2 linked regions of the Macaca mulatta genome follow. The protein of the gene in region 1 interacts with the protein of each later gene in a pairwise test. Links are inferred from orthologs where the notes say so. Each region holds a gene or a part of one and is shown in the gene's direction. Other genes may lie near its edges.

Region 1 (4,182 bases):
GCAGGGATGAAGCCCCAGTTTTGGCTGCAGACTCTGTCCTGAGCACTGGGCCGAACCTGCTGCCTCTGTCTACATCTCCTCCCACCCCCTCCCCTGCTGCCAGCTGAAGTCACTCAGGCTGAAAATAAAAATGCTCCCCCCACCCCAATACTTAGCCTCAGGAAGGTTAACTCACAAGAGTCCCTCTTTCACAAAAGGGTTATTATCAACTGTGGGCCTCTGGAATGGGGGAGGGGCAGTTGTTGGAGGAACTTCTGGCTGGGAAGGGGTCGGGGTGGCAGTCACCTGCATCGTCCTGTGAGTGTGCAGGAGAAGGGGGTCTATGTCCCATTCACTCACTCCATACTGGGGCCATCTGCCTCCCAGTGGACTTCGGACTGGGTGTCGGGGCTGACCAAGTCCACCCAGCAGGGAGGGTCCTGGGCTCTCAGCTGTCACAGCCCACCCTAGACACCGCTCCTCCTCTGTCTGGTGTCTGCTCCCAGCTCAAGGTGGGACCCAGGCAAGGTGTGCCCCTCTTCTCCCACTCCCCAGCAAAGTCTCCCTTTTGTGAGTGTAGCTGCCAGTACCTAGGTGAATGGTTGAGTCCCCTCGGAGCCTTCCCGCTCCTTGGAGGCACACCTCCAACTGACCTCCGCACTTCCCCCAGAGGCACAAGGTCCTGGGATTGGGCCTTTTAGGACACTCTTGGCCGTCCCCTCCACGCCCCCCAGAGTGGGGCAGTGCATAGGTGGGGCACGGCCTGAAAGTCAACCTAACCCACCCCCGCCCCGCGCAGTGGAGGCAGAAGTCCGGGATTCGTCCCTGACCGGTCTCGGGCCTGGTCTAGTAGGGTCAGGGCAGAGCGAGTCCAGAAGCGCCGGGTCACTTTACAGATGGGGAAACTGAGGCCAGAGAAGGCGTGGCCCCGGGACGGGCTGGCTGGTGGCCGGGCTCCGTTAGCGGCCCAGCCCAGGCCCTAGGCCGCCGGGGGCCGCCCCTCAGCCCAGCCGCGCGCTTCCCGGGCGCGCTCCGCCCTCGCCGCGGGCCCGGGCGGCCGCGCGGTGGGGACGCCCCGGGCGGCGGAGGCGGATGTGGGCGGGCGGCTCCGGGCGCGGGGCGGGCGCGGGGCGGGGAGAGGGCGGGCCGGCGGCGGCGGCAGGACCGAGCGCGGCAGGCGGCCGGCCCAGCGCAGCCAGCGCGGCCCGAAGGACGGGAGCAGGCGGCCAAGCACCGAGCGCCGGGCACCGGGCACCGAGCGGCAGCAGCACGCGAGGCCCGGCCCCGAGCAGCGCCCCTGCCCGCCGCGGCCTCCAGCCCGGCCCCGCCCAGCGCCGGCCCGCGGGGATGCGGAGCGGCGGGCGCCGGAGGCCGCGGCCCGGCTAGGCCCGCGCTCGCGCTCGGACGCGGCGGCCCGGTGAGTCCCCGCCCGCCGCGGCCGCCCGGGCCCGGATTTCCTCCCCGCGGGCCGGGCCGCTTTGTTCCCGGCCGGTCGGGCCGGGGCGCGAGCCGCGGCGCCGCCAGAATGGAGGAGCGGGAGCAGGAAGTGGCCGAGCGGGCCTGGGCGGGGAGGGCGCGGGGCGCGCGGGCCCGGCCAAGGGAGGGCGGCCCCACGCCGGGCGCCAGGGGTGCAGGCTGCCGGCCCCAGCCTCCCTCATGACCTTGGGGAGGCCGCTCCACCCGGCGAGGCCGGGGCCCGGGAGAAGGGGCGCTGCCGGGCCTGGGGCTGGGGCTTGGGGTGCCCCTGCGGGCCGTGGGGCTCCCCGGGCGTTGGGCCAGCGAGACAGCCGGCGGAGGTGCCCCGGGGTTAGGAGAAAGGCTCGCCGCGGCCGGCCTTCAAGTTTGTGGGAGGGCCCCGGAAGGAGACTTCATTTCCCACGGACAAAAAGTTGTACGTGGTGGCGGGGTACCCAGGCTAGCCACAAAGGACTGACCCTCCTGGGCCCCGGAACTGCTTCCTGTCTTGGGTGGGCCCTGGAGGTCCTGCCTGCTCGTCCCAGAGGCCGAGGCTTAGAGGGCAGCTGGGGCTTGCCCCTTAGATTGAGTATCCTGGGGCGCTAGCGAGCCTTGGTCCTGTCGGGACGGCCCCTGAGTGCTGCTGTGGTAAGCGGGGTTGGCTTGGGCCCCTGCTCTGTAGCCAGAGGCCGCCCCACATTCACTCCTGGGTCTCTTGGCCTTGCTCCAGGTGGCCACTTCTTGACTGCTTTGAGTCCCTCATCCAAGCAAAGGGCGGAGTGCATTGGTGGAGGCCCGGTTCCCTCTCCCCGGAGCTGTATAGACTTCTCATACACCAGGGTTCTGGAGGCAGATGGAGGAACCCTTTCGAAACACAGAGTATTTTTTTTTTTTAAGTTGTGACTTAAATAATAACAGCAGCAAGAATATGTGCTTATGGTAAAGGCAGGTGGCAGGTACGGAGGCTGTGGGAAGTTGGGGTCCCTCCGCCTCCACAGGCAGCCCTGTACTGGCCTGGTGTATATGTTTCTGTGCAGACGTACACCACCCTGTGTGTGCACAGATGTATTTTTACACATGGCTCTGGACAGCTGTCTGACTCTGTCAGCAGCAGGCCTTGGAGGGACGCAGGCCCTGGTGGGGGGTGGGGGGACATCCAGAGGTCTTTGAGTCCAGCCCTCTGCCTCCAGGCCACGCCCACTCTGTCGTCAGAGCCCCCTGTGCCTGAGGCGTGCGCGGCTGGGAGCCCTGCCCTCCTCAGGTCTGGCCTGCTTTCCATCCTGCTGAGTACTTGGGGCATTTCCCTCTTTGAGCAAGGTGTAGTCTTCCCTGTCCTGGCATTAGACACGAGGCAGTGGGCCTTCCTGCCATTCTAAATGTAGCTTAAGACAGTCAGTGCAAAGCACCCCTCTGTGGGTGTCCAGCCCAGGCCTCAGGAGGCCAGAAAGGTTGCCTGGCGGGAGAGCATCTTGGCTGACTGTGGAAAGACCCATGTTGGGGTCCATTCCACAGAGGTCGTCAGGTATCTCTGCCTGGCCTGGAGGTCCCAGAGAGGACCCTCCTCCCCTCAGGAAGGCCCGTCTGGAAGGGTAGCAGAGGACTGCTCACAGGAAGAGCATGCCAAGTGCTCTTTCTCGGGATGCCAGGAGTTGGTGATGTGGGAACTGGGTTTTGAGGGATGCCTAGGAGTTCATCTATCAGAGGGGAAATGAGGAAGCCATGCAGGATCAATGGATAAAGTGTGCTCAGGTGAGGGCTGGCTGGTGGGCCACTGCAGGGTAGGGGCCTGTCCAGTGCTCCCCCACTTACTTGCTGCCTCCCGACTGCTGTAATTATGGGTCTGTAACCACCCTGGACTGGGTGCTCCTCACTGACCGACTTGTCTGAACCTCTCTTTGTCTCCAGCGCCCAGCACTGGGCCTGGCAAAGCCAGAGACGCCTGGTACACGTTGGCCAAATGAATGAACCAGATTCAGACCGGCAGGGGCGCTGTGGTTTAGGAGGGGCCTGGGGTTTCTCCCAGGAGGTTTTTGGGCTCGCCCTGGAGGGCTCTGGGCTGCCGTTTGCGCCAGTGGCCTGTATCCTGGTCCAGTCTTCTTCATGTTTGAATTTCTTTGCTTTCCTAGTCTGGGGAGCAGGGAGGAGCCCTGTTCCCTGTCCCAGGATCCATGGGTAGGAACACCATGGACAGGGAGAGCAAACGGGGCCATCTGTCACCAGGGGCTTAGGGAAGGCAGAGCCAGCCTAGGTCAAATAAGTCTCAAAGGGACTGCCTGGAGGAGGCAGCCTGTCAGCTGGTGCATCAGGTTAGGCAGGCTGGGAAGGCCTTTTGGGGATGGGGATGATTTGTCCAAAGGCTCAGGGAGGTGGGAATGGGGAGGTGAGCAAGGCAGCAGCTCTCAGGGCCAGGTTGTTGAGGGGAGTGGTGGCAGGGGCTGGGGACTCAGCCTAGAATGAGGAGAGGCCCAGGTCCAGGGAACTGTGTTCAATTACGTGGATTTTACACTTGGCAGCTATGAGTGTTTTGGGGGGAGGTAAGGCAGGCCGGCAGTTGGGGGTCAGAGAGCCTAGAGGGATGGCAGCCCACCTGGGAAGGCAGGTGCAGGTGGAGCCCCCAGGCACGTGCAGTGGGTCTCCGACTCACCCTGGGCGAGGAGCTTCCCTTAGCCTGGCATGGCCTCACACTCAGCTTCCTTTGCTTCTCCCAGAGGCTGTGGCCAGGCCAGCTGGGCTTGGGGAGCGCCAGCC
Region 2 (4,015 bases), about 9.2 Mb from region 1:
CAGTGGAAAAGAGGTTTGCTGAGCTTAAGGGCTCTCGCTCCACCCCCAACTGCCCTTGACTTTTCTCTTCTATGTTGTATTCCTGGTAAATCCCGTTATATCTCGACTACCTTAGGCCACCTCAGCTCCTTCTTGGGAATTAGGCTGTCTGGATAGGCAAAGAGGCAGATATCCAGCTGTCAAGTGAATCAGATGTCCTCATCAGATCTCTTAATTTCCACTTTTGTGATATTTCAAAGGATCACAAATTATTTTCTTAGTGCCTGGTCAGAGAACCAGGAAAGAGCTAGAAGGTGAGACACCAAACTCCGTTCCATGGTGATGTTTGAACCAGGTTGGAGCTGGTTTCACATGTTTTTCATTGTGCATGACTTTCTTAATTGCCTTAGTGGGAATGTGTTACTGCAAAATAAAGTGAAATTGTTTTCCTTATTGCTTGTAATTTACAGAGGGATGGTTTTGATAATATAAACCAAGGACTTTTCAAATCCATTGATCTTAGGGTGGAAGGAGGGGTTTCTTTTTAAGTATTCATTTTGAACTATGCTTTCACTAGTAAATTCAAAGCCCAAGGGGAAAAACCCATGTTTCTCCGTTTTGTAATAGCTATTAGATGTCCACAGCATCATCAGACCTGCGGAAAACGCATGCTTTGTGTATGGAAGACGGAGCGTCAGGAGTTGTTCTTTGCCAAGAAATGGACCCTGACACTCAAAGGCACAAGCTGGAGGAGATCCAGGGAACCCGGGAAAGCCCAGGCCTAACTCAGGCCCGCGTGGGTCTCTTCTGATCCCAGAAGATGAGGACTGGGTCCCGGCTCTGGGCATCCTAGCGTCGACTGTGAGTTCCCAGCAGAGGCCCATAGTCCCGGTCCGGCAGCCGAGGGAAGCGGCGGGGTCTCCCAGAAGAAGAAAGGGCCAAGGTCACCCCGGGTGACTCTCCAGCAGCAGCGGAGGGCGGCGGTCGGGGTCGCTGCTGGCCGGGGCCTCGAGGAAGCCGCGGGTCAGCCAGGGCTGGGTCTCCGTTCCCAGGCGCTGCCACCGTTCCAGGGAGCCAGTCAGGCCGGGACGTAGCGCCTGCGTGGGACCCTCGCTTGCCACCGGGACCCCCACAAACCCCGCCCCATCCTGCCTTACGCCCCGCCCCCAGGTCGTCCTCCCGACCCAGGGTCCCGCCCCAAGGCCGTCCTCCCGCCCCGCCGCTTGGTGGCGGCCGCATGCTGCCCGGATATAAAGCGTCGGCCCCACATCCCAGGGACCAGCGAGCAGCCTGGAGAGGCTCTGGCTCTTGCTTCTTAGGCGGCCCGAGGGTGCCATGGCCGAGTGCCCGTTACGTGGGGAGGAAGTCACCGACCACCCGGACCGCCTGTGGGCCTGGGACAAGTTCGTATATTTGGACGAGAAGCAGCGCGCCTGGCTGCCCTTAACCATTGAGGTACAGCCAGCTCTGGAGCGGATGGCGAGGCAGCAGGGGCAGCCCCCGGGAGTTTGAGATGCCCTAGGAAGGGTGAGGCCTTGAGAAGCACCCACTGTGGGGCAGGGAGGATCCCCACAGATGAAGCCACTTTGAGCCGGGCTCTGGAGGATGAATAGGAGTTCTCCAGGCAGGGAAAAAGGGTGGGAAAACCGCAAAGAAATGTCGGCCAAAGGAGGGGACCCAGTGCCTGTGGAGTGTGACTATATGTTGACTACAGTAGGGCTTTTCTGGGCTTCGGGGTCCTAATCCTTAAAAATGGGTATCTCTAAGTGACTCATCCATACGGCCGATTATCGGAATCATCTTAGGTGGGTCCCAGAAATCTGTATTTTAAAAAGAACCCTCAACAGCTCAAAAGAACACGTCAACCAGGCATAGCAACCACTGCCCTAGAGTGTGAAGTATTTTCCATGACCTCTGTGCTTTATTTAGAAAACAAATTTAACAAGTGATGTCGTAGTATAAGCGCCGGTATTGAATCAATATTGACTTTGTTTTATGTGTGATGCCTTAAGATGGGTCCTTAGTCCATGTTAAGTTTTTGTTAAACAAATATATAACTCTTTTACAAGTATTTGGATTTACTCGATGAAAAAGAGTCAAAAAATGTTCAAACTCTTTCCAAACATAGACTGAAGAAAGCATAAAAAATTAAAACAAATTAGAACATGTATGTCCAGTAGCAAACAATCAAAAATTATTGAGTGTTAACTGTGTCTCTACAGATGAGAAACTGAGGCACAAAAATGTACATTTGTCCAAGGTAGGGCTGCTAGTAGGTAATGGGGTTGGAATTCTAGGCTGTTAACCACCACCAAAATTTGCATTTTTATTGGCACTTCAATTTTTTAAATATGTTTTTACTTTAATAATCAAGTTAAACATTTACTTTTTTAAAATCAAAATTTGAAGAAATAATCTGAATATTCGGTGAATTTCTTTTTTTAAATCTCTGGTTGAGAAATCTCTTCAACGTGACACCAGAATCATAAACCAGACAGTTTTTCATATAATCATGATAAATGCCACACAAAAACCCACTAGCAAACTGTGGGACAGATTTTGCCTCACATCATTGAAAAGGCCAGTATTCTTTTCCTTTCTTCTTTCTTTGTCTTTTTTTTTTTTTTTTTTTTTTTTTTTCCGTAGAGACAGGGTCTCGCTCCGTCATTCAGGCTGATTAAACTCCTGGCCTCAAGCGATCCTCCTGCCTCGGCCTTCCGAAGCACAGGAATTACAAGTGTGAGCCACTGCAACCCGCCAGAAAAAAAGTGTGCCTTTCATGGCCCTGTCTGGGTGGCTAGACACATGTGCGTGCTGGTGATCCTGGCCCAGCCAGAGTCCCTGAGAGGAGCATGCATGGCCTAAGGAAGTGAGCTTCAGGGAACAGTGATGACCGTCATTTCATACTCGGACCCCTGCCCAAATGGGTGGGTGGCTGGCAGGAAGGACTCTGGTTTTCTGTGCCTGGAGGAGCCCTGGCAAGCGGAACCTGAAAGTATGCCCTGTGCTCTTCTTCTCCTCAGATAGAGGATAGGTTACGGGTGCTCTTTCGTCAGGAAGACATCATCCTGGGGAATCCTATGACCCCCACCCAGATAGGCCCAAGCTTGCTGCCTATCTTGTGGCAGCTCTACCCTGATGGACGATACCGATCCTCAGACTCCAGTTTCTGGCGCTTAGTGTACCACATCAAGGCGAGTGTGCTTCTCCCAGGGATCCATCGGGTGATCTTGGGTTTCCCCTCCTCCGTGTCTGGCCTTAGTGGTTTATCTTCCCTCCATCCCAGTCCCAAAAGCATCAAAAATTGGGGGGAATGGACAACTGAGGATTTCTAAAGGACTTTCCCAGAGAGAAGATAGATCCTCTGAGGTATCTAACAGAACCCTACCTCCCCTTCCTCCCAGCCCCCCAGCTGGCCGCAGGAAGACATCTCCCGTGGGCAGCCACAGGCTGAAGGCTGGTGGGAGGAGGAGCAGTCTCCGAGAGCCCCTGAAATTCACACTTGGGTTCCTACCTGCTGTTTCCAGCTAGGGGAAGGCGCAGGAGTGAGGAATGGAGGGAGTGGAGGGCTCTGGCCGATCAATGCCTTCTCTGTCTGCCTCTCAGATTGACGGCGTGGAGGACATGCTTCTCGAGCTGCTGCCAGATGACTGAGTGTGGCACGGTGAGCTCCACTGACCAGGGCTTGACCCCTCTTAGTCCACAGTGGCTGTACCAGAAGGAAAGACCACCCGTTCTCCATGAAGGCAGTGCTAACCCCTCCCCGACTGCTGCCATCTCAGGCCTCCCAGGGATGGGAGAGTCTTCCTGGAGGCACCCATGTCTCTCCCTTACCACTTTGGGAGCCCCCTTTATCGCAGCTGCTCATATCTACACAGTACTTCACAACTTCACGTTTCAGCGAGTACTTCAGTTCCCATTGCCTTTTGTTTTTTTTTGTTTTGAGTCTCGCTCTGTCGCCCAGGCTAGAGTACAGAGGTGCAATCTCAGCTCACTGTAAGCTCTGCCTCCTGGGTTCATACCATTCTCCCGCCTC

The links.
Region 2: the proteins of AKT1 (region 1) and TCL1A interact in binary tests that used the Homo sapiens proteins (3 or more experiments, as listed by UniProt). The link is inferred for Macaca mulatta from reciprocal best matches to the Homo sapiens genes AKT1 and TCL1A.

What each region holds. Positions count from the first base shown.
Region 1 is NC_133412.1:178,232,774-178,236,955, reverse strand, and holds the start of AKT1 (RAC-alpha serine/threonine-protein kinase), read left to right. Parts: upstream 1-1,382; 5' UTR 1,383-1,396; intron 1,397-1,603; exon of another isoform or gene 1,604-2,082; intron 2,083-2,535; exon of another isoform or gene 2,536-3,183; intron 3,184-3,560; exon of another isoform or gene 3,561-3,740; intron 3,741-4,142; 5' UTR 4,143-4,182. UniProt on the Homo sapiens protein: AKT1 is one of 3 closely related serine/threonine-protein kinases (AKT1, AKT2 and AKT3) called the AKT kinase, and which regulate many processes including metabolism, proliferation, cell survival, growth and angiogenesis.
Region 2 is NC_133412.1:169,015,148-169,019,162, reverse strand, and holds the start of TCL1A (T-cell leukemia/lymphoma protein 1A), read left to right. Parts: upstream 1-1,215; 5' UTR 1,216-1,314; coding exon 1,315-1,434; intron 1,435-3,002; coding exon 3,003-3,173; intron 3,174-3,585; coding exon 3,586-3,633; 3' UTR 3,634-3,643; intron 3,644-4,015. UniProt on the Homo sapiens protein: Enhances the phosphorylation and activation of AKT1, AKT2 and AKT3. Promotes nuclear translocation of AKT1. Enhances cell proliferation, stabilizes mitochondrial membrane potential and promotes cell survival.